Bombyx mori: one gene and its partners. The protein of the gene in region 1 interacts with the protein of each later gene in a pairwise test. Links are inferred from orthologs where the notes say so. Each region holds a gene or a part of one and is shown in the gene's direction. Other genes may lie near its edges. The genes, in order: Ubx, nuclear cap-binding protein subunit 1, zinc finger protein Noc, insulin gene enhancer protein ISL-1, protein hairy, catenin delta-2 and mothers against decapentaplegic homolog 3.

Region 1 (4,258 bases):
TGAAATAAGGTAAGTTTTAAAAAATCATAAAAAATTTAAGTATATTTAATTCATGAAACGTAAACCACCATTATCTATTAATTAAAATAAAAGTGTTAAACTTGTCATTTTACATATATCATTTTTAATAAATAAATAAAAAAACGTCTCAATACCCGGATCTAAAGGAAATATTTACATACGAAGGCGCAATAAAAATGCGTTCAATTCTTAAGGGTAGGGCGCACCATTCATTCGTTTGACGACTTCATTTGGTCGCGCGAAGTGAACTCGCGATAATGCGCTATTGTTTACCCTCCGATAGTGCGTTGTCCACTGCATGCGCTACACAGCGCGAGACCAAGACCGCTATACACTAATCAGCCCCGCTCGGATGATAACCGTTCCGCGCTCGACGCGCTGTCCCTTTCGCTCTCGAACGGGCGCCTTAAGCAAGAGAGCAATAGAAACATCACTCGTAAAAACAGGTAGTAGAAGAAATAATAATCATCTTTACGACTTCTCACTCTATTCAGCACCTTGTTACGATACTGAACGCTCATTGTGGCACGGTCGACGAGTGGCTGTAAAATCTTTTCTTTACTCGCCCGTTTCACTAATTGTACGTTTATGAGTTTACGACTTTTGCGGCTTAACTTTTTCGTTCTATTCATTTTTGAGGCTTTTGTTGAGGCTCTTCAAAAGTTTTGTTACGCGGTCGTCCGAAGATACATAAATTGTTAAAAGAAAACATATAGTTTATAATAGGATTTGATGTTATTGAGTTCTCTCTTAAGTCATATAAATGTCAGTTATTAACCTAGGTATTCTGAAGTAGAGCAGCTAAAGTTCTAGTTTGTTTGACGAACGTTCGCCACGTGCTCGAGTGGGTGTGATAAGGAAAGGAAAAGAGAGCGTAACTGATAATATTTATAGTGATTAGCGAAAAGGGGACGGAACAATAGTCGTTGGGCTGCGATGGTAGCAGTGAGCGCGGGGCGGCGCGCGTGTCTCAGCCGCGCTCAGTACATTGCGTGAGCCGCGTCGCGCCGGTCGCACACGACACACAGCCGCGCGCTCCCGCCACACGCGACGGAAAACTTCGCTCGCGACACAAGCCTCCGGCCCATACACCACCACGATCACTTCTGATTTCATACAGTGGAGACGCGCTCTCGGCTGACGTCCTGAGACGAGCCGGCGCCGCAGACGAAACCGCTTAAAAAGTCGTAAAACCCGCGGCACGCGCTCCCGAGTCGTAAAATAATCGTAAAAAGTAAACACACGTCAACTGGCCTTTATCGCCGACGAAGCCCATTATGACGCTTTAGTGACGTTTAAGAGGCAATAAAATTAATAAAAATAAATTACGTTGTCCGTATTTGGTGTGACATTGGCGGAGGTCGCGTTATCACGGCGCGCGGGGCCGCGATGACATAAGTGTTCCCTGAGTGACGTTAGTGCCTGTGACTGGTCACGATGAACTCTTACTTCGAGCAGGGTGGTTTTTACGGGGCCCATGGAGTGCACCAGGGCGGCGGTGGTGGAGACCAGTACCGCGGCTTCCCTCTGGGCCTCACGTATGCACAGCCACACGCTTTGCACCAGCCTCGTCCTCAGGATTCACCGTACGACGCGTCTGTCGCGGCGGCCTGCAAGCTCTATGCTGGAGAGCAGCAATATCCTAAAGCAGATTGTTCAAAGCCAGGCGGTGAGCAGCAGAATGGCTATGGTGGGAAAGAAGCCTGGGGCTCAGGTCTGGGAGCACTAGTGAGGCCGGCAGCATGCACTCCTGAAGCTCGATACAGTGAGTCGTCAAGTCCTGGTAGAGCGCTTCCGTGGGGCAACCAGTGTGCACTTCCGGGATCAGCAGCATCAGCCGCGCAGCCAGTGCACCAGCAGCCTACTAACCACACTTTCTACCCTTGGATGGCCATAGCAGGTTAGTAAGTTAAAAAAAATTATCTCGATCACAACTCTATATAAATTGAATATGCAATTTCGAAAAGGGCACACCTCTGAAAATGTAAAATGTTCAGGAAATGAAAAAAAACTGATTATTTTCTAAAGCAGTGTAAAATTTAAAATATTAACTTTTGAAATATATTTTAAGTGTTAATTAGCAATTGAAAATTACGGGAATTATTATAAAATGGGTGTAGGTAAGCCTCAAAACTACATGTATATGAAAAAACGTATTTGACAAAATATGCGACATGTGCCCTTTTCGAAATTGCATATTCGATTGAAGTGTATTATTGCGATCGTAGGTGCAGTTTTTTTTTTGATAAAATTAATTGCCGAAGTCTCTACCTATTAATATTGTATATTACATATTTGTTTACAAATATCACTGAAATTTATGATTCTATATTTAAAAATATATTGCGTTTCCCATAAAAAACTCGTCAACATTTAATATACATAAGTGGAAATGAGAGGCGTAACAAAAATATGTCACGTCCGATACCCCGTAAAAATCACTAAAATGCTGCCATCCTGTTTGGCACACATAATCGGGCCACTTCAGAATCGTCCATTAATGTTTCCTAAGAGTCCAATACTAACCGGCAGGTAGCCGACAAATCAAGTGTCAATAAAAAGCACATAAAACGAACGACCCTCGTTAACACCTTATTAGTGAGACAGATTTGAGTACCATTAATAATTTTATTGCGGACAAAACTCAGGATCCTCCAAATTACTAATTTGTAACGATAAATTGATATCAGTGATTTGATCATAAAATCTTTGGTGTAGACTTCCTGAATGTTGATGGTTCGTAGCAACGGAACTGGTATATAAATTATAGAGCTATGGAACTGGATTATTTGAAATAAAGTTCTCGTGTCTTAAAATTTTTTTTGGAACAAAACTAACAAGGTTTGTGAATTAAAATACGATTTAATCTTGGACTGGACTATACGGAGATTTAGCAGAACATATTATACCTACTTTTTTTACCGGACGACAAAACACTAAAATATTTCGAGAGAATGTAAAATAAAGAGACAAATATGTTGTCGATATTTACTTGTGTTCTCTTTTCTGACCCATAACAATTTAAATTAATTTTATAAATACATTAATAAAGCTAAGAAATAAAATAAAATAAAAGTTATTTATTATTAAAAGTTGTATATTTATTTTATTACTATCTAAAAATAAATAAAACGTTTAACAATCCTTCAATACTTAACACATACTTTAAGATGAAATTTTTCAGGTTCAAAATTGATTGTGTAGGCATAAAGTAAAGCAAAAAGCGCTATTTTAGTGGCCCAACGAGGCAGGAGAGGTGCGCCCGCGCCGCCCGCCCGGGTCAATGGCCCGGTCTAGTTTTGGGCGCATTATTATTAACTTACTGCCACTGACCATTCGACAAATGACCATCCCATTAAGAGCGCTTCAATCTTCAAACATACGTTTCGGTAAACATTCAATTCATGCACTTAAAAGATAAAATAACGCTTTAAAAATGTTTTACAAAATATCTAATACGGCATATTAGTTGGTATAGATTAGAATTTAAGTCTTATAAGAATCGATTCTCTCTCATTCGTAGTAGTTTTTCTGGAAAAGAAGTCCTATTCGAATTTCGATTGAATCGATTAGTTCACCTGGGCCGGCGACGAGTAATTAATGCTACGCGTGTGGTCCCGCCTCGTCATAATTCATGCGACTTGATAAAAATTAAGTAACAGGGCCTAAAAAATAACAAAATAAAATGAGAAGTCGAACCGTCGGCTATAATTCACTGTGGGTTCACGCAACACAGGCCGCGAAACAATACAAGGACGCTTGTTGGACGTGGCATGTATGAAAAGTTCGGGCTTGTCCATGAACGGTCCCTGCTGTTCATTTGGACAGTTTGCTAATTTGTAATACCTGTAAAGTAAACCTTTTTTGGTATAAATACCTAAAACATAGGTAATTTGGTATAAATTCCTATAAATATAGAAAGAAAAAAAAATTGTGGAGCTGTAAATGTAACTAATTTAGTGAAGCAAACGATAAATACGGTATAAGTTGAAGCTCGAAATTGCAATCACATGCTCCCGATCTTACTGCTATATAATTGAGGACTTAAATTACAGGGCCGTGGACTTCTTTTTTTTAAATTTGTTACAAGCGGTTTTTAAATGGAACAAAATAAAAACAAGAAAAATTATTTGGTGGAATAATTTTCATTTTCAATCATACGACAATTATTATGACCCTTCAAACAGCGACTTGAATCTTTCTCTTCTTACTTGGTGCACATTCGTTCTGTAGAGGC
Region 2 (2,419 bases), on another chromosome or scaffold:
TCGTGTAATAAAAATCATACCCGCAAAATTATAATTTGCGTAATTACTGGTCCGCACGGGTAGGTACCACCATCCTGCCTATTTCTGCCGTGAAGCAAAAAAAAAATTACAACATCCAATTTGTTTAACAGGTGCAGAACTCCAGGAAGCCCGCGAAGCATTAGCGAGAGCGGACTCGAGCAGTTCGGATTCTGAAGATGAGAACAGTAAGAAGAAGAAAGACCAGGACAAGCCTACTGAAGAGGTATAACTTTTCTTTTTGGGATATTATGACCTAGTAACTAAGACCTTTAAGTCATATCTTATTTTAATTTATATTCTTATTTTTATGAATATTGAAAATAAGGAGTGAAATGAGATGATATGGGATGAAATATAATCTCAGTAAAATGGTGGTCATTTTGAGACTTTTTCAGTGGACCTTTTGAAGGATCCTGAGAAGTTACGTTCAGCGGCTTTGTTTCATTTTCCCACATTTTTGCACATTCACAGATATTAAACAGTTAATAAACCACCGTTATTACTCATATAAACCTGAAGAAACACTAAATAGACAAAATAAAATAAATCACACAACTTCAGTACTCGCGTTCTCGCCTTTTTTTTTGACGTGACTACGTCTTTTAATTCGATGGAGCCGGCTGTACGCACGAAAAAACATGACTCATGCGGCGTTACCTCGCTCTGAGGCGTTCCATTTAAGACTTGAAGTGCAAGCGAGAGCGCGCAACGAGCGACAAAGAGGCACAATCGGCCTCCGCGTTCGGCAGCGTTCGACATTTGTCTTTCTCCTACTTGAGTGAGCGATGCATCCGCGTGGACAGCTGCTATACAATAATACAATTCACAGCACATTCCATTCATACTTGTAAAAAAACTATGTACATTGAAAAAAAAAATTACATAATTGTATTTATGCGTACAAATAAATGTAACTTGATCAATTCAATAGTGATTTCCATTTACCTCCTTCTCTATATCCATACAAAATATCTATCAAACAAATAAAATTAAAATGTTCTTTTGAAAAATGAAACCATTCCATCAGTATTTTCTTGACGTTGTCACGTTCAACTATCGTCAGTAAACCGACTTTACAGACAACCGATTTTTTTTCCTACCTAAGCTGATAGCCTTGAGAGGCTATATCAGCGTCGCCTTAACTAGTAGGTGAGCTCACGGGGCTCAAACCTGATGAGTCGTTCTCGCCAAAAAGTCAAGAGGTATATATAACCAACGCATTGTACCAAATGTTTGTATTCCAGGCGGTCGAGCGTATGGAGGAGCGCCTGGAAGCTGCACATATGGACCAGAAGCGGCTCTTCCTGATCGTGTTCCAGCGGTTCATCATGATCCTCTCGGAGCATCTCGTCCGCTGTGATACAGACGCACGGGACCCTCACACGCACTGGTACCGCGCCACGCTGCACCGCCTCACGCAGGTCTTCCTCATCGTGAGTATACAACACACCCTTCGCCCCACCAGTAGTACCTGACCGAGGTGCTCCTGTGTCATCTCCTACCACTGTCTCCAAACTCCCTCATGCTGCTCAACCGCCCTTCAGGTGTTTTATCCGCCGTCTTCTTCTTTCTTACCTTCTAGTAGGGCGTAGGGCTCGAATAAAATTCTTCAATTTAATTTTTTTTTAAAACCTTCAGGACTACTAATCACTAATAACATAGTATACGCGTTGGGGTTCGGAATAAATAAAATTCTACCGAATTATAAATTAAAACTGTATTTAACTTAAAACGCTCACAGAACACTTTAAAATTCTCGCAATCCGCTTCTACCGCTTCGCTTCAGGTGATCCGTTCGCTGTTTCGCTTCGAGTAGATCCGATTACTGACTTGACCTCGTGCTATCTCTGCAACGTTTTTATACTCGATACGATATCCCTAGAATTATCGAGAACATTCTGGACAAGTCAAGTAGCTTCGATGTGTTTCCGCTCTCTGACAATAGATGGCGTTGTACTTCTCGATTTTTACTAGGTCCTTCGATATTCGTTTGGGGGATTACGACGAAAGGAAGATCTTCCACCGAGCGGATGATATTTGTTCGGTAGACCGATGGTCCAAATGTTGTTGTTCGGAACTTGTATATATACAAGCTTATCTTGAAAATGTCGTAAGCGAGATTCGGGCATCTGTTCGCCACATTCGTTTCTGCTATTCGTTGATAGATGGCGTTACTCTTACCGGCGTAACAATAGTTTTTGTGATTCGTGTAGCCTATACACAAAGTATTCCGTCTGTTCCAGCACCACGAGCAAGTCCAGAAGTACAGCAGCACGCTGGAGACGCTGCTGTTCACGCAGGACCTGGACCCTCACATACTGGACGTGTTCCACCAGTTCGTGGCGCTGACCGCGTGAGCGTCGCCGCGAGACGAACAACACACAACGTTAAAGACTGC
Region 3 (3,946 bases), on another chromosome or scaffold:
CGAGGAGTGAAGTTGTGTGATTTGTTTTATTTTGTCTATTTAGTGTTTCTTCAGGTTTAATTGTGTAATAATGGTGGTTTATTAACTGTTTAATATCTGTGAAAGTGCACAAATGTGGGAAAATGAAACAAAGCTGCTGGACGTAACTTCTCGGGTTCCTCCAAAAAGTCCACTGAAAAAATCTCAGTAAATGACCACCATTTTACTGCGATTATATTTCATCCCATATCATTTCATTTCATTAAATTTCATCCCAGTTGATTAATGTCTCAAATTAATCATCTTCATTTCATTTCACTCCATATTATAATTTTTCATAAAATTAAGAATATAAAGTAAAATAAGACATAACTTAAAGGTCTTAGTTACCAGGTCATAAAATCTCTTAAAAAAATATATATATTTTAGTAAGGACTTTTTGGCGGGAACGCGAGGAGTGAAGTTGTGTGAATTGTTTTATTTTGTCTATTTAGTGTTTCTTCAGGTTTAAATGTGTAATAACCATGGTTTATTAACTGTTTAATATCTGTGAAAGTGCACAAATGTGGGCAAACGAGAAAAAAGCCGCTGGACGTAACTTCTCGGGATCCTCCCAAAAAGTTCACTGAAAAAATCGTAGTAAATGACCACCATTTTACTGAGATTATATTTCATCCCATATCATCTCATTTCATTTAATTTCATCCCAATTGATTAATGTTTCAACTTAATCATCTTCATTTCATTTCAGTTCATTTTATTTCATTTCACTCCAAATTATCATTTTTTAGTAAAATAAGAATATAAATTAAAATAAGGCATGACCCAAATAAAGGTCTAAGTTATCAGGTAATAAAATCCCTTAAAAAAACATTTTTGTAATGATATTATTCATACCCTCAAAATACTTTTATAATTTTAACTCAAAGCGTAGATAATCATGACTAACAAAAATGGATGAAAAAATGAAAGGAGTGAGTACAATGTCGCAGATTAATTTTATTGAGGTAATAGCTTAACTTTCTTTATGCTACTAATTATGTCGTCCTTAAAAAGGGATAACTATTTCAATTAATTAATAAATAATAAATAATAAATAAAGTAGATATTTAAAACATATTTGAAATTATTTTCTTCAATTGGTCTATTAAAAAAAATACATTTAAATCAAATTCCTTTTATTCAATGTCAATTGTATTAAAACATTTAAATCATATTCCTTTTATTCAATGCCAATTGTATTTTATAAGGGCTGTCGTACTATTTGAACTGAACACTGACTGTTAGCCTACTGAGTTTCTCGTCGGATCTTCTCAGTGGGTCGCGTTTCCGATCCGGTGGTCGATTCTGCGAACCACTGCTCTTGCTAGGGCTAGTGTTAACAACACTCCAGGTTGAGCCCCGTGAGCTCACCTACACGTCAAGGAGAAGCTGAAATAGCCTCTCAAGGCTATCAGCATAGGTAGGAGAAAAAAAGTTGACTGTTTCTCATTGGAAGTATTAAATATATTCAATATGTGGTCATATTTCAACAAGCTATGACTGGAAATCCGTTTACTGAATCTAAAATATACGAATTATGAATCCCTTCGAAGGCGCCAAGTCTATCTAAGCCCAACTATTCTACCCTTCAAACTATCGATGAGTCATTAACGTAACCGTAACAGAGCAGATCAAAGCAAGGCATGGGCCCCGTCAAGCTTTTTACAGCGTTTGTAAACAGTAATTTGGTATCGGCGGCAACGCTTTGTGCGAGCGCTTTGATCTCGCCGCATCCGCTTCAAACAATAACGCGTTATCTTAGCGAACCTGAGGGGTCCTTGCATGGCTTATCTGCGAACAGAGAAATAGGCTTCGCTTCCTAAATTTTAAAAGGTTTATACCTTTTGGAAGCTAAACTTACGACGGGTCCAAACTAGTGTTAGGTCCTGGTTTATGAAACTGAGACTGGCACAACTACTGGGAATAGATCCCGGACTACATAAGCCACACGGCCAAAGCTAGCTCCATTATCATCCAGGATCACCATTAACATGATATATCGTAATAAGGCTTTTTCTCTTGCTGAAGTCAAATTTAAAGGCATCTTTTCAAATTTTGTGCATTTTTGGGTGAACGAGCTAACGGCCCTCCTGCCAATAAGTGGTTAACATAGCCCATTGACAAACTCAACTTAAATGCCGCCACCCACCTTGAGTAATGAGGTCGAAATCTCATTTGTAAAAGTGGTAAGTTAGTGAAGATTCATTTTGTTCTATACTGATTTAAATAACTACTTCTCTATTTGCGGTCAAGAGTAGTAGTAGTTGCTTAAGGTAGGTTAAGTTGCTAAGAATCTATGCCAGCACAAAACATGAGTGATGCTCGATTTATCAAACAAAAAATGAATCAGCAGGACAGAATTAAAGCTTCAATATTTTCGGATACAATCTACAATAAGGTCCACAGTTTATTTGTAAATTAGTTAGGCCCTATGAGAGAATTAGAAAATCGTGTAGAAGTCTGTTAAAATTGACGACGCGTTAAATTCTCCTTGAAAACATACAATACGATTTAATGAACCGTGTTATCGCGATTGAGTTTGCAATTACGGCTCAGCGAGCATCAACAGAATTTATCAAGACAAGAGATTTGTTTTTAAAATCGCATGTTTCAGTTAAAGCTTTTGTAATTTTGAGACGAATCGTAACGTAATACGTTGTTTTATATTCCAATAGCACGAAACACGTTATTCAGTACGGGCGAGGGCCATCGGCGCCTCCGTAGCCTTAAACAAACACTAAAATGCTCGCGGAGCTAATTTATAGAAGAGAGCCGGGCCGCCGCCGGGGCCGAACCAGACCCCATCTCGCAATAAACATGTTTTTTGTTTCGTGTGTCCGCGCACTGTCAAATATATTACAACCCGCCGGGTTATTTACAACCTCTGTCGTCCGCCCATACGTTATACTTAGTATCTTTGTTTGGACACAATAAGCAATATTTCTAAAGGGCCCCGCCGCCGTCGCTCGCAGCTGTTGATATGGGTTCCCAAATTGACATATTTAATTTGATCGCTACGGAGGGTCCGACGGACCGAACCCGTGTTTGACAGGTTTTAGTGTCGGATTAACATTAACGTTATGGACTTAACGCTGTCGATAAAGTGAAATATCGTCAAACAAATGTTTATCGATAGCTTAACGAGTTTCAACGTAAACGTCTAACGGACTTGTTGACACATCAAACGGTTTCACGGAAACACGTTTTCCCGGGAACGGATCAATTTGGCCCCTTTGAACCGACGCCGGGTGCATCTCGGAACAAAGAAAGCTCGTAAAAACGTAAGTAGTATCGAACGTGTCAGCAAAGTGCTACGGAGCTCAAAGAGAGACGCTGCGAGTCGTCGGGGACGTAATAAAAGTGCCACGTAACAAAAAGCAGCGTGGTACGCGACTCTCGGCCAGGTAGAGCGGCAGTCACGCTCGCAGCGGCGACTCAAAGCGCTGCCCGTCATGGGTGGCGAGCCACCAACGCCATCGCACGTCTCAATCCGCACCCGACTGCTGAACATACCGCCTTTCCTTTTTCCCCTACCGCAATGCAGCTATGTGTCGTTTCCGCTTTATTTTTTACGATCGCGCGCTGCAGCGGTGAGACATAGCGCTCTCTGTCTGGCGGAGGTTCGGCGTATTGCTGTCTCTATCTGTCGCGACGAGGGCGCGGGGTACGGAGGCGAGTCGAGCTTTGGTGGGGTCCAGTCGCTCACAGTCGCTTCGAACGTCGCCGCGTGCACATGTGTCTTACTTGCTCAGTCTGCGCTCCGTTTGCAAAGTGTACACTAAATTAAACTCCCTTACGTGATTGTATCGTGAAGTTCAAAAGTGATAGTAAAAGTTATCTCCAAATGGTGGTGCTTGAAGACGGTGGAATGATGGCTACAAATCCCAACCAGTACTTACAACCAGATTATTTAGCACCGCTTCCG
Region 4 (3,500 bases), on another chromosome or scaffold:
CTATGTAAATTCGAAAGTCGGTCAAATAAATAACTGGTACAAAAAAAAATAGCATAACAATAATTTTCAACTATTTTCATTGCCCGTAATATATTTTTCAAGCGTAAAAGAGACGTAACGAGTGAAAGAGGCCACCGTATTTCCGTGAGCACCAGACTGGGCGGGACCTCGACCACGCCTACAGACGATATCGATTGAGCCCGATCCGACAACATTAATTTATTCATAATTCATGTTTCGTGATGTGACTCAGCACGTTTCGCGACGGCTGTATCACTGAAGTTCTCGTAAATGATTTTTGAAAAAAAAAAAACAAAAAGATACTTATGTTTATATTAACGGTTCTGCAAGATTGATTGCTTCTCACCTGGACCAATCTAATTTAGCTCCAGCAAAAATTAGCATTATCCACTTGCCTATATCTGCCGTGAAACCTTTTTGTCAAATGTCCAATGACTAGATAATAGAAGTCGTCGTGGCCTAACGGATAAGACGTCCGGTGCATTCGTGTTGAGCGATGCAACGGTGTTCGAATCCCAGGCGAGTACCAATTTTTCTAATGAAATACGTACGTTATTACTGGTGGTAGGACCTCTTGTGAGTCCGCACGGGTAGGTACCACCACCCTGCCTATTTCTGCCGTGAAGCAGTAATGCGTTTCGGTTTGAAGGGTGGGGCAGCCGTTGTAACTATAATTGAGACCTTAGAACTTATATCTCAAGGTGGGTGGCGCATTTACGTTATGGATGTCTATGGGCTACAGTAACCACTTACACCAGGAGGGCTGTGAGCTCGTCCACCATCTAAGCAATAAAAAAAAGCTACTGTGATGATACCTCATGTTTTAAAATCACATTTTTTAAATGGTCAAATGTCACACAATCACCAGTCAAATGGGCTGAGCTAGGATAACATGTACCTTCCAACAAGTACTACGGATGAATTTAGGAAGGAAATATTCAGTAATAGGTCGCAGCCCCTAATAAATCTATGTAAATAAAACTGAATGTTTTTCTCTCCTATATGTTTCTAAGCCATTAGATTGTTATAAAGATTAGTTGGCGATTGTTTGGCAGTCTCTGTTATAGTATATTTAATGTACGACAGGTGGCGTGTGTGTAGTTTCAGCAAACATGGCTGAGCTTTACCAGTTTAAAATCAAAAAGCCCTCAACGCTACGGCCTCAAGTTTTGTAATGTTAGCCACTCCCTTCCCACCCTTCCTTCCCTTCCCACGTCACCCGGGTAGTGGAAGCTCGCTACACCTCAATGTAATTCAATGAAACTTGAAGAGCACTTCTAATTTTGCGTAATAACCAATGTTGGTATATTTTAAACTCGTAAGGGTATGATCGTGCTGCCTATGACTGCCGAAAACTTACCCATATATGAGGCCATCAGCGCAAAAGTGGCCTAGCCCACAATATTTTTTTATATTCAAGCTTATATTATGACGTATATTCGAATTTATTTAAAATATCAAAATTTTTTATACAAATCCGACTTATCCATAGTTTCACCCATAGATAGCAGATAGCTTTGTAAACATTATTTTTGGGCGTATTGTTTTTTTGCTTACTCAAATTCAAATTCATGAAAATTCAAACCTAATTGCCTCCATACTAACTATGGTAAGCTTAGGTCACTTTTGCGCTGACGATCTCATATATGTTTATAGTTATATTATATATAATATATGTGTAATATAATGATATGGAATACTTTAGAATTATTAAACAATAAAAGGCTTAATTGGGTTGTCTGTGATATAATAAGAAAACAACATTTAAAGCCCTTAATCACTTTTAAAAATAATGTAAAACATTAAACAGTATTATTAAACTATAGAAAACTAAATTTTGTTTTCACTGAATGACAGACAGATGAGTGATTCCGTCTATGAAAAATCTTTTTTAAAACTAAAGAGTTTTAAAGGTTTTAAACGATAAAGGTTTTTCTTTACATATGTAAATAATTCTGGTTTTAAAGACGGAAATAGAACTCCGACTTCATGTCTCATAGTTTTGATATTTAGCTTCTGATATCTTTAGCTCGTAGCTGACACGTCATTTCGGATCCTCCCGATATCCACTAACGGTGCTTTTAGGTACCTCAAGCACCGGTTACCGTCCTCGCCGAACCTGTCGCTAACGACGAAGGGCTCGACGAGTAAATTAACCCATAGAGCCACTGAGTTTCTCGCCGGATCTTTTCAGTGGGTCGCGTTTCCGATCCGGTGGTAGATTCTACGAAACACTGCTTTTATTAGGGTTAGTGTTAGCAACGTCGTCAGGTTTGAGCCCCATGAGCTCTCTTACATGTTAAGGTTACGGAGAAATGGTCTCTCAAGACCATCATCAGCTTAGGTAGAAAAAAATATATAAATAATATTTAGCTCGTCCACTCATCGCATGTGTTACCTTCTCTATCTAGATTTAGATAGATCGTTCCTCTCCCTCTACACGGGAACTGGCTTTGTCTTCTACTTCCCATGAAGAATCATACCACTTTACTTGGATTGAAGGTCACGCAAACCACTAATCGAGGTTTTCGTCTACAGAAAAGCTCCGGCTCTCGTTGTGCGTCGGCTGCGGAGGTCAGATCCACGACCAGTACATCCTCCGGGTGGCCCCTGACTTGGAGTGGCACGCGGCCTGCCTAAAGTGTCAGGAATGCCGGCAGTTCCTCGACGAATCCTGCACGTGCTTCGTTAGAGACGGAAAGACTTATTGCAAAAGAGATTATACTAGGTAAGTGACTTATTAAGCTGTTAGGTCAATTTCCGTCAGAATACAGAATACCAATTGCGATTTATCACCGGATTAATCACGTTCGACAAAAAGCTTTGATTAATAAAAATACTAGATATATTACCTAGTTACTACATAGTTGTCTACTCTTAGCCGCTAACTCTGAAAGGAGTCTGTACACTATCGCCAAAGTTAAAATTAAATTTTATATTAATATACTACTACATGACAATAACATTATTATGATATTATGATTATTTTAAATTATGTATAGTATTGTAAATGTAAATGCTTAGGATAAACCAACCCTTCTTACACTAGCAATGATCGACAATTTTTTCAGTAGTAGGTATTTTGATAGTTCCTACATTCAAATACGTGGTCCGACAATGAAACAGACTTCTTAAGCCTCGGAAAATTGAACCCTGTTTATATTTTAGAAAGAATAATGAAAGTTTAAATTACAAAATACTTACGATGATCTACAACGAACAAACAGTTTTATCACCTAAACTATTCTAGCTTCACTTAATTTTTATTACTCTAGATTTTAATGGAGGTACGCACTTAAACATTCCAAAAATAACTCTTACAATGTCTATAAAACATTAACTAATAAACGATCGAAATCTATTTAAGTAGATCGTGTTTAAAACAAAATTACTAATAGAACTATTTTAGAACTTACAAGCTAAAACATTCATTGCACGAAACGAAATAAAAAAAAAATCATAACCGAATGTCAATCAAA
Region 5 (3,227 bases), on another chromosome or scaffold:
AAATTTTACACCTTCACTTTAAAATAGTAGTTAAACGTATCCAAGTTCAAAGCTTTTCATGCACCCAGTAATGGTACATAATAATTTCAGATTCCGCGAGTCGTAGACGTAATTAAAACAATTTTTACGGTTTTAATCTCACATTTTTTTCTGTCATACATTTTTGACGTTTTGACTTTTTTATTATTATTATTGCTTAGTTGGGTGGACGAGCTCACAGCCTACCTTGTGTTAAATGGTTACTGGAGCCCATAGACATCTACAACGTAAATGCGCCACTCACCATGAGATATAAGTTCTAAGGTCTCAAGTATAGTTTACAACGGCTGCCCCACCCTTCAAACCGAAAAGCATTACTGCTTCACGGCAGAAATAGGCAGGGTGGTGGTACCTACCCGCGCGGACTCACAAGAGGGTATTACCACCATTTTTTGCCATTTAAAAGTAGTTTTAGCCAAAGTAGTTTTAATTACACTTGCTAATAGATATTGCGGTCCTTCCTTAATGTCTTTGTATCATTGAATAATAAAACAAACCGCTACGTCACAATAAACTAAGTGTCTCTCTGTACACATTGTATGCAAATCATAATTCTAGTTATTAACAGTTAATATTTTCCCGGCAGCGGGTCCCGGTTCCGGTGTGCGTTTGCTGCCAACACGTCTCTCTAACGGCGATATAGCTTTAGTGTTGCCCGCGGGTGTGACGACTAGCGCTATAGGGGGGCTACCCAACTTAGTGCCGCTGTCACCAAGAGATGCATCGTCTTCAACATCAGAACAGAGATGCTACTCGCCCGAGAGTTCTGGTTGGGGAACACCCCCTCCTTCCTCGGAGGATGCAGCACCTTTAGCATTAGTCACGAGAAAGCAGCCAGAAGAAAAACCCTGGAGGCCGTGGTGACACCCCTATCGTTCCAAGTTTCTTTCTGTGATATTGTACGTAAGTTTTCTGTCAAGTTGATGGAGTTGAAGTTCCTATGTGCCCACAATTGGCATTATTATGAGTCTGTGCGGTCAGTTTGTGTGATAATTAGTGTTTAGAGATAATTGAAATTTTGTATTTAAAAGAAAATTCTAAGTGTCATATTTTATTTTCCTTCGTGAGACGTCTATGTTAAGGATTGAAATAAATCACTTTTACATTTCCGTTGCACTTCGTAAATAATGTAGATATGTAAAATGTAGTGTGTAGGTAGCTTTCGATAAATTTTATTTTATTTTAACAAAGAGCATGTTCATATGGATGATTAAATCGACGCGAATTGTAAACAATTACAATGAGGAATAGCAATTTCAATGCTGAAAAATAATTACAAATACATTATGAATATCAAGTTACATAAAAGATTTAAACGTCCATAGTGAATTTCATATCACTAGTTTTATAAGATGTATATTTGTTGATGACATCTGTGGCAGTATTTTACTAATGGACTTGTTGTCCTTTAAGGATCTATAACTTCGTAAATCTAGAAGATAGTGCCATAAAATCGTTTGTAAATATTTATAGCGTAGCGATAGTCCCTTTTATGTTTTATCTGTGACCATTAAGGCTCATTTACGCTGGTTGTTAAAACGATGTCGCCTGGAGCACCTTTCAAGACGACCAACACGGAATAAATGGCAGTTCGTTAAAAAGATTGAAGCCGTTTTTAACTGTCGAGATAATGAATTCAAAGCAGGCATGATGAGAATTAATTTCAAGTGCCTTAAACAGCAAAATCACTTAGTCTTCCATGAATAGGTTAAGTTATACACTAGCTGTACGTGTAAATGTAGACTTAACATAGGCAGTAAACTTTTTATCAAAATAACGTTGTTATTAATTAAATAAGACGTAAAATAATACAGATCATTTATTTAATTCGCTTGTTGTTCGTAAACTTGATTCATTTAAATGCGATTTAGAAAATATACTCTATCTTCTCTTCTCTTCATACATAAATATTTCACAAAAAAAGTCGCGTATTCGTTATATTCTCAATTTGGAAAATTATTTGTAAGTAATTTAATTGAATGACTAATTACGAAAATTTTAAAACACTGTGGATTAGTTCCATTAATATATTATAGATGTAAACTCACCTTGATTTTTAGATAGCTTTTTTTAATGCTCAATTTTAACCATCATAATTAAGCTTCGTTACCGCCAATACTAAGACACGTGTCTTCCTTTATTTCATAGTTACCGTTAACGGACAGTGAATTGTTGAAAAAATTATATTATTATAGTTTAATTTACCACGTAAAGATATATTTAACATTTGCAAATTTAGTAGTAGGTCAACCGTGATAGGAAAGACATGTATGATGTGCAATCTCAAATCGAAAATATTATAAACTATTTTGAATTTAAACCGAATTTTGATGAAGATTATGTATGTATTAAGAGTTTATGGCAGTTAAATTACATATAGTTTTCATAAATTTTAACTAATTGTAATCGAGAAATTGAATCTTCATCAAATTGCCCTACTTATGTCGAGAGAAACAATTAATCCTAATGGCATTAATTCTCATAGTATTGTAAAGTCACAAATTTATTTAAGGTATAATATTAGTTTATTTTATAAGAGAGAATGCCGTCTAACATTTAATTTATCATACATTTTAAATTTACGAAGTGATATTATTTAAATGTAAATAAAGTAATCATAATGTATGTTATGATAGCTCTTAAAAGATATGTCATCATTTTAAAAATAAACAATATCTAAATGATCAAGGTTGTAGTTTTATTTATTTTAGAAGCCAGTCGAGGATTCTACACGTAGATAAATAATCAATGAATTATTAAAATAGCGTCTTGTTAGATTAAGATTAGCCTAACCCTGGATGGATGGATAGGAGCTGAGCCGACGACGAGGTGCCACCATTGTGGATACGACCTGCACACAGTGGAGCATACGCAAGCTATCTGCCCCGCTTGGGAGGTGCAGCGTCGTGTCCTGGTCGCAAAGTTAGGACCGGACTTGTAGCTGCCTGGCATCGTGGCATTGATGCTTGGCGGCGACGAGCCCTGGAGGTCTATGCGCGACTTCTGCGAGTGTACCATGTCGCGGAAGGAGGCGACGGGACGAGTGAGGCAAAGCTCTCTTCACTTCGCAGAAACCCGCTGCCGCCGAGCAGGGGGTTAGGACTAGGGTCCCATCCGTGACCCGGCCCTTAAGAGTTTCGGGCTCCACCCGCTTTGTGCGGGGACCCAGGCGTTTGCCGCGTGATAGG
Region 6 (3,500 bases), on another chromosome or scaffold:
TTGAACATTGTTAAGGTTCTATTGTCAAAGACTATAATTTTAATTCTATAGTCTGACTAATTTTATAATCACAAATTTCGGCAAGTCTACACTATGGACAAATAATATTAAAGATAAACAATATTCTCATTTTGACCACAGACTTTAAACACTAACAAATTTTTTACAATAAACAAAAGAGTATATATGCGTGTTTATGTCAAATACATGGTAGTGTGTGTAATGCTTTTTTTATTCATTTAACGTATTTTTTATGCATAATAATGCTTCTTTCTCTATATTATCTATGAGCGTGGGAAATGTTATATTCCTTAGTCCGCGCAATTTAAAAAGGGGTACAAAGTTTTTGCTTCAGGTATTATCTAATATAATCTATATGATTATGTTTTGAAAAAAAAAAAAACATAGAGTGGTTGTTAAAAAAATAAACCATAAAAACCACATTCCGATTTATATAATAAATGTATAAATTTTTGTTTTGATACAGGTTAAGGAATTAGTTACCGGTGTTATATGGAATATGTCATCGTGCGAGGACCTCAAGCAGTCGATAATCGATGACGCGGCTCAGGTCATTGTGAACAAAGTTATCATACCGCATTCTGGCTGGCATCCCACCAACCCTGGAGATACTTATTGGTCTACCGGTAAGTTTTGTGCTTTTTTTTTTTTTATATCGCTATATCAGCCGAAAGAGTAGGTGAACTCATGGTGCTCAAACCTGGCCAAGTTGCTAACACTGACTCTAGCAAGAGCAGAATCTACCACCGGATCGGAAACGCGACCCACTGAGAAGATACGGCGAGAAACTCAGTGGGCTCTGTCTGTGGGTTAGTGTACTCGCCAAGCCCTTCGTCACACGCGACGGGTTCGACAATAGCTAATATAAATCTTTAGATTTACCGTTTTGGGCGAGTGTAAAAACAAATGTTTGTATTCGAAAAATTCTCCACGTATTTTGCTGTGCTCCATTTCTGTGCCTTTCAGATTTTAACCTCATGTCACACACACGTAGGGAAGCGACATAGTTCATAAAAACATCGCTCTTATAGATCGATATAACATTTATTTTCATAACGAATATATATTTTTTTTTTATTGCCCTTGTAGGCAGACGAGCATACGGCCCACCTGATGGTGAGTGGTTACCGTCGCCCATGGACTTCAGCAATGCCAGGGGCAGAGACAAGCCGCTGCCTACAATACAATTAAAAATACAACTAGGATAACTCAGTACCCGGTTTTAATAACAACGATTTATCGCTGGCATCTCGAGTTGTAAGGAGCGTCGTTCACACTATAATGTTACTTTTGATTACTCGACATACCTTTACCGTACCTCGAGTTATGAGGACGAAGCCTCAGTCGGATCTTGTAACGATTCCCAAAGAGGTCTCTCTACTTATATTCATAGTAACTTAGCCAACCGTAAAGTTTTGAAATTGGTAGGTTGTTTGTTTCAATAAGCTATATAGGTCTGAGGTATCAGTTCATTTTTGAAAAGGGGTCACTTGCCTCAAATGTTCCGAAGCCGGTTCCAACCGAAACCCTCAACAACATCCGTGCATAAATTACGATATCTGTTTGAAGTATTATATTAATTGCGTTTGTAAGCAGATGAGCATATGGCCAACCTAATGGTAAGTGGATACCGTCGCTCATGGACGTCAGCAATGCCATTGGCAGAGTCAAGCCACTGCATACCATTAAGTACTCTCCACAAGCCTCGTTTGAAAAAGAACATGTCTCAGCCCTCGGGAAAACACCGTGGAAGGGAGTTCATTCCAAAGCCGGAAGGTACGTGGCAGAAAAGATCTTTGGAAAGTCACTGTCAATGAACGTAGCGTTTCAAAATAATATGGATGAACTCTGCTCCGCGGGAGGTGCGATGAAAAAAAAAGAGATGAGGGGAACGTCTAGAGAAATTCCTCAGAGCATTCTTTGTACTTTAGCCAAATATGTGTGAGAGTAAGGTTAAGTTCATATGACGGTACGTAGTTCCGCGCGGTACAAGATCAATCTAAACAGTGCTTAATGTTCACATAATTTTCTTGTACTTGTCAGTTCTACAAAACGGTATCGACAGCTTTCAACGCAATCATATAAAAAAAAACAAAAGATGCAACTAACATCTTAAAGTAGTTACAAAAAATTCTTCGTGTAGTCTCCAGGTCGGGATATAAAGTTACAAAAGAAAAGTTTTTCATTTAAAATAGGATTGCCCCCAGTATCGTCTTTGTCTTCTTCTCCGACGTCTCAGTTTTCTGTATAAAATCCATAAGCAAATTGCCCCTTTTCCACGTCCATTCTCCAATGTTGACGCCAGACTGTCGCGCGTACATATTCTGTCATGTGAATGCTTCCACCGCGCGATCATATGAACTATTACTGGTGGTAGGACCTCTTGTGAGTCCGCGCGGGTGGGTACCACCGCCCTGCCTATTCCTGCCGTGAAGCAGTAATGCGTTTCGGTGAAGGGTGGGGCAGCCGTTGTAACGAAACTTGAGACCTTAGAATATCTCAATGTGGGTGGCGCATTTACGTTGTGGATGTCTATGGGCTCCAGTAATCACTTAAAACCTGGCTGTGAGCTTGTTCAACCATCAAAGCAATAAATAAAAAAATCTAGAATGAAATTTAGCAAATATAAAAACAAATTTTATCATATGGATACACTGGATTGGTGTAAATATGCAAATAAGATTTTTGGTACTGTAACTAACTTTTTAATGTAAACTACTAAAAAAAAAATGTGTACATTCAACATTAATCCATAGAGGTCCTGTGCTAGACACAGATCTACCCCAGGTTGCGCCACAATTACGGAACCTGCGCAAATTAAGCAATAAAAAAAAATCGGTTGTCTGTAAAGTCGGCTCCGTCGAATTATAAGACGTTGTCACGTCAAAAAAAAACGTAGCCTAAGCGAGTGCGTGTTGTTAGTATTCCGCAACGCGTCGGGCGCGCTGCGCAACGCGTCGAGTGCGGGCGAGTACGCGCGGCGCCGCCTGCGCTGCCTGGCGGGGCTGGCGGAGGCGTTACTGCACGCGGTGCGCACGGCGCTGCACGTCAACGCGATCGGCACCAAGGTCGTCGAGAACTGCGTCTGCGTGCTACGGAACCTCTCCTATAGGTACGGGCGGCTTATTTCTGTACCTGTGTTTCCGATGTACAGGAGAAAACAATGTGTCATCCATTCCCGATCCTGCGGAAAGAATGGAAAGCAGTTGACGTCGCCCCAAACACGTTATTTCGGATCCTCCCGATCCACTAACGGCGCTTTTAGGTACCTCAAGCACAGGTCATCGTTCTCGTCGAACCCGTCGCTTGCGACGAAGGGCTCGACGAGTAAATTAACCCTCAGACACAGCCCACTGTGTTTCTCGCCGAATCTTCTCAGTGGGTCGCGTTTCCGATCCGGTGGTAGATTCTGCGAAGCACGACTTGCTAGGGTTCGTGCTAGCAACGTCGTCAGGTTTGAGCCCCGTGAGCTCACCTAC
Region 7 (4,081 bases), on another chromosome or scaffold:
ACCGTACCGATACCAACATAATACTTCTGCCGCAATTTAAAAGGTAGGAGGAGGTATTTCTGCAATAAATTGAGGCTCGACCTCATATCTCTACGAGCTACAGTGAACAATTAACATCAGCGGGCTCGTGATCTCGTCTACTCATTCAGTACAAATTAATATATCACGGATTCTTTATACTCATTATTCTTGAAAATGTTTAACGTGTCAACAACAGATCACGTCATTATATTTTTTTTAGCTGAAAATACTGACCGGTACAATGCGCGCTACTGATACATTCGCACTATTAGGAGATACGTGACAGCACGTACCGCAAAAATATCCAATTTCCATAGCACATTCGAATTTAGACTGCTGTTACGTCCATTTTAACATTTTTGCTGGGATTGGCGACGTCTATGCTTAAATCGTTTGCTATTCCACCAGTAAAGGCCAATTAAATTAAATTTCAATATATTTATTTATGTTAGGCGGTGTATCTACATGCAATCCTTAAGCACCATTATAACTAGTAAATTTAAAAAGTTTTGCGTTTTCGAGGTCATTGAACTCTTACATTTGAAGCAGTCATGGCCACGAGTGCGAAACGTTGCAAATGATAATTTATTTATACAAAGTACGCTTTTCTCTGTGCTATGTAAAATTTTGATCATAGAACTATATCTTACATACTAAAGAATGTATAGATTGTTAGTTGTAATTTTGAATAAAACACACAATCCCGCCTACAAATAATGAAAGTCAATAAATAGGTTAATAATGAATCATTATTATTGTTTGTCAAAATAATTGGTAATTTAACTATTTGAAATTTATGACTGTTTCCGATACTTTCCTTAACTACAAATAAATGGCTGACTATAAAAGAATTAAAATTTTGCAACAGCCAGTGTCAATGGCAAGGAAAACAGTCGAGAAATTTATTTCCGTAATGTAGATCAAAACCAAAAATATAATATGAGTTAACTACAAATGAGTTTACTGAAAAAGGAAAAAAAAACTAACCAGTTTTATTTATTTCTTCAATATAAAACGTTTCTTCGCGAATAACTGGCACAATGACAACGAAAAACAATTGAAATTTAAAACTTCCTCCATTTTTTTGAAATCTACGACATTTCAAGAATTCAACAGATAATATTAGAAATTCTCATTATGCAGTAAAGCATTCACTCTTTAGACGATTCTTAAATCGATTCAGCAAGCAAAAGGTTTTTGAACTTGTAAATTGACAGAAAAATTTGTCAATACATCTATGACTGCCTTTCATGTGTCAATGTCAAAAATCGTCAAAATGGCCGATTGCATCTAAATATGGAACCTATATAATAACATTGTGCGACAATAAAGATATTTTTTGTCGAATACTACTTTTCTGAACTTAATGACATAGCTAACAAAGTGTACGGTATGTTCCCGTTAACTCCGCCGGTCGTGAAGCGATTGTTGGGCTGGAAAAAAGGACCCGAGGGATCGTCGGCCGCAGAAGATAAATGGTCCGAGAAGGCCGTAAAGAGTTTGGTAAAAAAATTAAAGAAAAGCGGGGCTTTAGAAGAGTTAGAAAGGGCAATCTCGAGTCAGAACAGTCATACGAAATGCGTTACGATACCCAGGTGAGTCGTAGTAAATTCTGTTTATTGTACAATTGTTCTAGTACGATGACATTTCCGGCCAAATGTCTTGGGAGTCTTGAACATTGAGATTTTTAACTTCCTGAAATAAGATCTAGTCTCCTTTGTTTGAACTGCTCGCAACTTTGATGCCGATAAACGCAGTAATTTAAATTTAAAGGTGAGGAAGTAGTCTAGTTTTAAGAAATTTATATAATGCAAAATTGCAAAAATTCTCAAAAATCTAACTTGAAACAAATTTATTCGCAAGCTAAAAATCAGCTGATTTTTTCCGGCATTGAAATTCACGTTCGGAAATTCGAAGTTGAATATATTCGTCGTATAATCCGACCAAATCCGATTATAATTATTAAAAGCATGTTTCGCGAAAATGGCGTCATCTCGCTTTTAGTAGGATAACAAAGTACAGGACGCAAAATCGAAAAGGTCAAGACACCGTCAAAACAATCGAATCTTTTGTCAATATGGCTGCCGTATTTTGATGTAGCGAATTTTTCATTTCCTGTCCTTTAAAAAAAATACAAAGGCATTAATCGTTCTATTGTTTGTCATAAGAAACCGGACGTGTTTCGCAAAATTTCGCGAGTGATTTTGAGTAACAAAGTGAAGTGGTTATACGAAAAAAATTGTCATAATTAAACAAGGTAAGAGTTCTTGTTGTTCGTTAATTTATGCAAAAAATACGGCTTTCGGCAATAAATACGTATCATACACCAGTTTTTCATTTAATTTGAATTAGAATAGGAATCTACTCGTCATTGTTACAATTTAACTACATTGTAAAAATTGAAAAGCAAAAAAAGCCATTGACTATCACATGTATTTGACTTGAGATGTCATTGCACTGGAATTTCGCAGTGTATATTGGTTTCCAAGACCAAGAAGTTAGAATTAGAAATTAAAGTCTTTAGAAGTATTTTTTTTGGAAATAATAATATGCAAAGTGGCACCTATTTCCTAAACAATCAAGGAAATTGATTACAAGATAATAAAATACATATTCATAAGTCATTGTTATCCAATGCCATTTAAACAATAAATACACCACTGTGAATTAATTGCCTAACTAACTTATTGGATTTAATTATTTCAATAGGTTATTGGGCTCATGGTCTATCTTTTTTTACTGTCAACAATTATGAGTAATCGTGCGTATAGCTCTAAGCTACCATTGGAAACTGAACAAAAAAATTCCATGTTAATGATTCCGCAGCACAGTAATAAAAATGTAGCATTTATAATTTGTTCATGTCTGTCTGTATCCCCCAAATGTTTGCGAATCTCCTATGTAAGTAATTACTATTTTGTGGTTTCTCTATGCAAAATTCCCTCACTGCTGAGGATTGTGACCAAATGTGACTTTCCTCCTCTTCCTTGGTCATGGGTGGCATGGACCACATGGTATAGACTACCACTAGCCAATTTATTAACAAGATCTGAACATCTAGCTGGTGTTCTGCCCACAGGGCGCTTTCCTTTTATGTATAATTATGAGCTTCTCTAATTCATGTCAGGGAACATTCTTACTGAAAGTCAAAATAAACTCTAGCTGGTTTACTGGTTACAAGAAGAACCACAGTCCTGAAAAGAACTGCCGCAACAAATTAGCAAGCATGTTATGACCATTATTCTAAAACTAATATGATTCCAATTTCAACATATTGTTTGATAATGTTTATGTAAGTCAGTTGTGCCATATGCTCTCGCTTGCTTGGAAGCAAGTATTTCATAAATTGGATATTTGTACTACACTGTTTGGACTGTTTTTGGAAAGCCACCAAGTGGATGGTAATCAAATTTTCCTTTCTACGGTACTTGAAAAGAAAATGTTGTTTGTTTGTTTGTAAGCTGTGCATTCATATGTCTGTTTTTTTATGTATTAAATCATGCACATTAACATACATTAAAGGACTTAATGATGAAGTTGTGTACCGTTTAATGGCGTCTAACAGAAATATATATATAACTAGCCGTACTCGCCGGCTTCGCTGGGCATTTAAAATTGAGAGAAAGAAAGGGAGAGTATTCTTTCTTGTACAGCAAAAAACAAATAAACACTGCGATACATTAAATACAAAAAAGTACAATTGGCGGTCTTATTGCTAAGAGCGATCTCTTCCAGACAACCATTAGGTGGACAAGATTCATTTGGAAACGAATTACGATTGACATTAGGGAGTCCAACACTCAAATAAATATTATCCTATCCATCAAGTACAGGTATTTTCTACATATACGAAGTTTCAAGTCAATTGGATGCACGGTTCAGTAATTATAACGGAACATCCCTAAAAGCCACTGTAGATTTATATATTAGTATAGATTATAGATAGATGCAATGGCTGATTAATAAATAGGAAAAGATTTACTCTACAATACATGTCTATTAAATTAGCATATAAATACAATAAATATAAATTTAAATATAAATATACATCCTTGCCTTA

What was found.
Region 2: the proteins of Ubx (region 1) and nuclear cap-binding protein subunit 1 interact in binary tests that used the Drosophila melanogaster proteins (3 or more experiments, as listed by UniProt). The link is inferred for Bombyx mori from reciprocal best matches to the Drosophila melanogaster genes Ubx and Cbp80.
Region 3: the proteins of Ubx (region 1) and zinc finger protein Noc interact in a two-hybrid assay, tested with the Drosophila melanogaster proteins (2 studies listed by BioGRID, with this or other methods). The link is inferred for Bombyx mori from reciprocal best matches to the Drosophila melanogaster genes Ubx and noc.
Region 4: the proteins of Ubx (region 1) and insulin gene enhancer protein ISL-1 interact in a protein complementation assay, tested with the Drosophila melanogaster proteins (2 studies listed by BioGRID). The link is inferred for Bombyx mori from reciprocal best matches to the Drosophila melanogaster genes Ubx and tup.
Region 5: the proteins of Ubx (region 1) and protein hairy interact in binary tests that used the Drosophila melanogaster proteins (3 or more experiments, as listed by UniProt). The link is inferred for Bombyx mori from reciprocal best matches to the Drosophila melanogaster genes Ubx and hry.
Region 6: the proteins of Ubx (region 1) and catenin delta-2 interact in a two-hybrid assay, tested with the Drosophila melanogaster proteins (2 studies listed by BioGRID). The link is inferred for Bombyx mori from reciprocal best matches to the Drosophila melanogaster genes Ubx and p120ctn.
Region 7: the proteins of Ubx (region 1) and mothers against decapentaplegic homolog 3 interact in a two-hybrid assay, tested with the Drosophila melanogaster proteins (2 studies listed by BioGRID, with this or other methods). The link is inferred for Bombyx mori from reciprocal best matches to the Drosophila melanogaster genes Ubx and Smox.

The regions. Positions count from the first base shown.
Region 1 is NC_085112.1:6,103,982-6,108,239, reverse strand, and holds the start of Ubx (ultrabithorax), read left to right. Parts: upstream 1-1,458; coding exon 1,459-1,921; intron 1,922-4,258. UniProt on the Drosophila melanogaster protein: Sequence-specific transcription factor which is part of a developmental regulatory system that provides cells with specific positional identities on the anterior-posterior axis. Binds the consensus region 5'-TTAAT[GT][GA]-3'.
Region 2 is NC_085127.1:11,172,431-11,174,849, forward strand, and holds part of nuclear cap-binding protein subunit 1, read left to right. Parts: intron 1-131; coding exon 132-244; intron 245-1,265; coding exon 1,266-1,454; intron 1,455-2,264; coding exon 2,265-2,378; 3' UTR 2,379-2,419. UniProt on the Drosophila melanogaster protein: Component of the cap-binding complex (CBC), which binds cotranscriptionally to the 5'-cap of pre-mRNAs and is involved in various processes such as pre-mRNA splicing and RNA-mediated gene silencing (RNAi).
Region 3 is NC_085115.1:2,640,785-2,644,730, forward strand, and holds the start of zinc finger protein Noc, read left to right. Parts: upstream 1-1,146; 5' UTR 1,147-3,865; coding exon 3,866-3,946. UniProt on the Drosophila melanogaster protein: May negatively regulate Notch-induced cell proliferation in the eye-head primordium. Required for development of the supraesophageal ganglion and ocelli.
Region 4 is NC_085134.1:9,911,425-9,914,924, forward strand, and holds part of insulin gene enhancer protein ISL-1, read left to right. Parts: intron 1-2,559; coding exon 2,560-2,749; intron 2,750-3,500.
Region 5 is NC_085114.1:6,571,149-6,574,375, reverse strand, and holds the end of protein hairy, read left to right. Parts: intron 1-625; coding exon 626-903; 3' UTR 904-2,727; downstream 2,728-3,227. UniProt on the Drosophila melanogaster protein: Pair-rule protein that regulates embryonic segmentation and adult bristle patterning. Transcriptional repressor of genes that require a bHLH protein for their transcription (e.g. ftz).
Region 6 is NC_085133.1:5,044,076-5,047,575, reverse strand, and holds part of catenin delta-2, read left to right. Parts: intron 1-487; coding exon 488-647; intron 648-2,943; coding exon 2,944-3,133; intron 3,134-3,500.
Region 7 is NC_085108.1:6,272,186-6,276,266, reverse strand, and holds the start of mothers against decapentaplegic homolog 3, read left to right. Parts: upstream 1-1,281; 5' UTR 1,282-1,413; coding exon 1,414-1,616; intron 1,617-4,081. Other genes in the region: zinc finger protein 62 homolog, read right to left, coding at 1-86.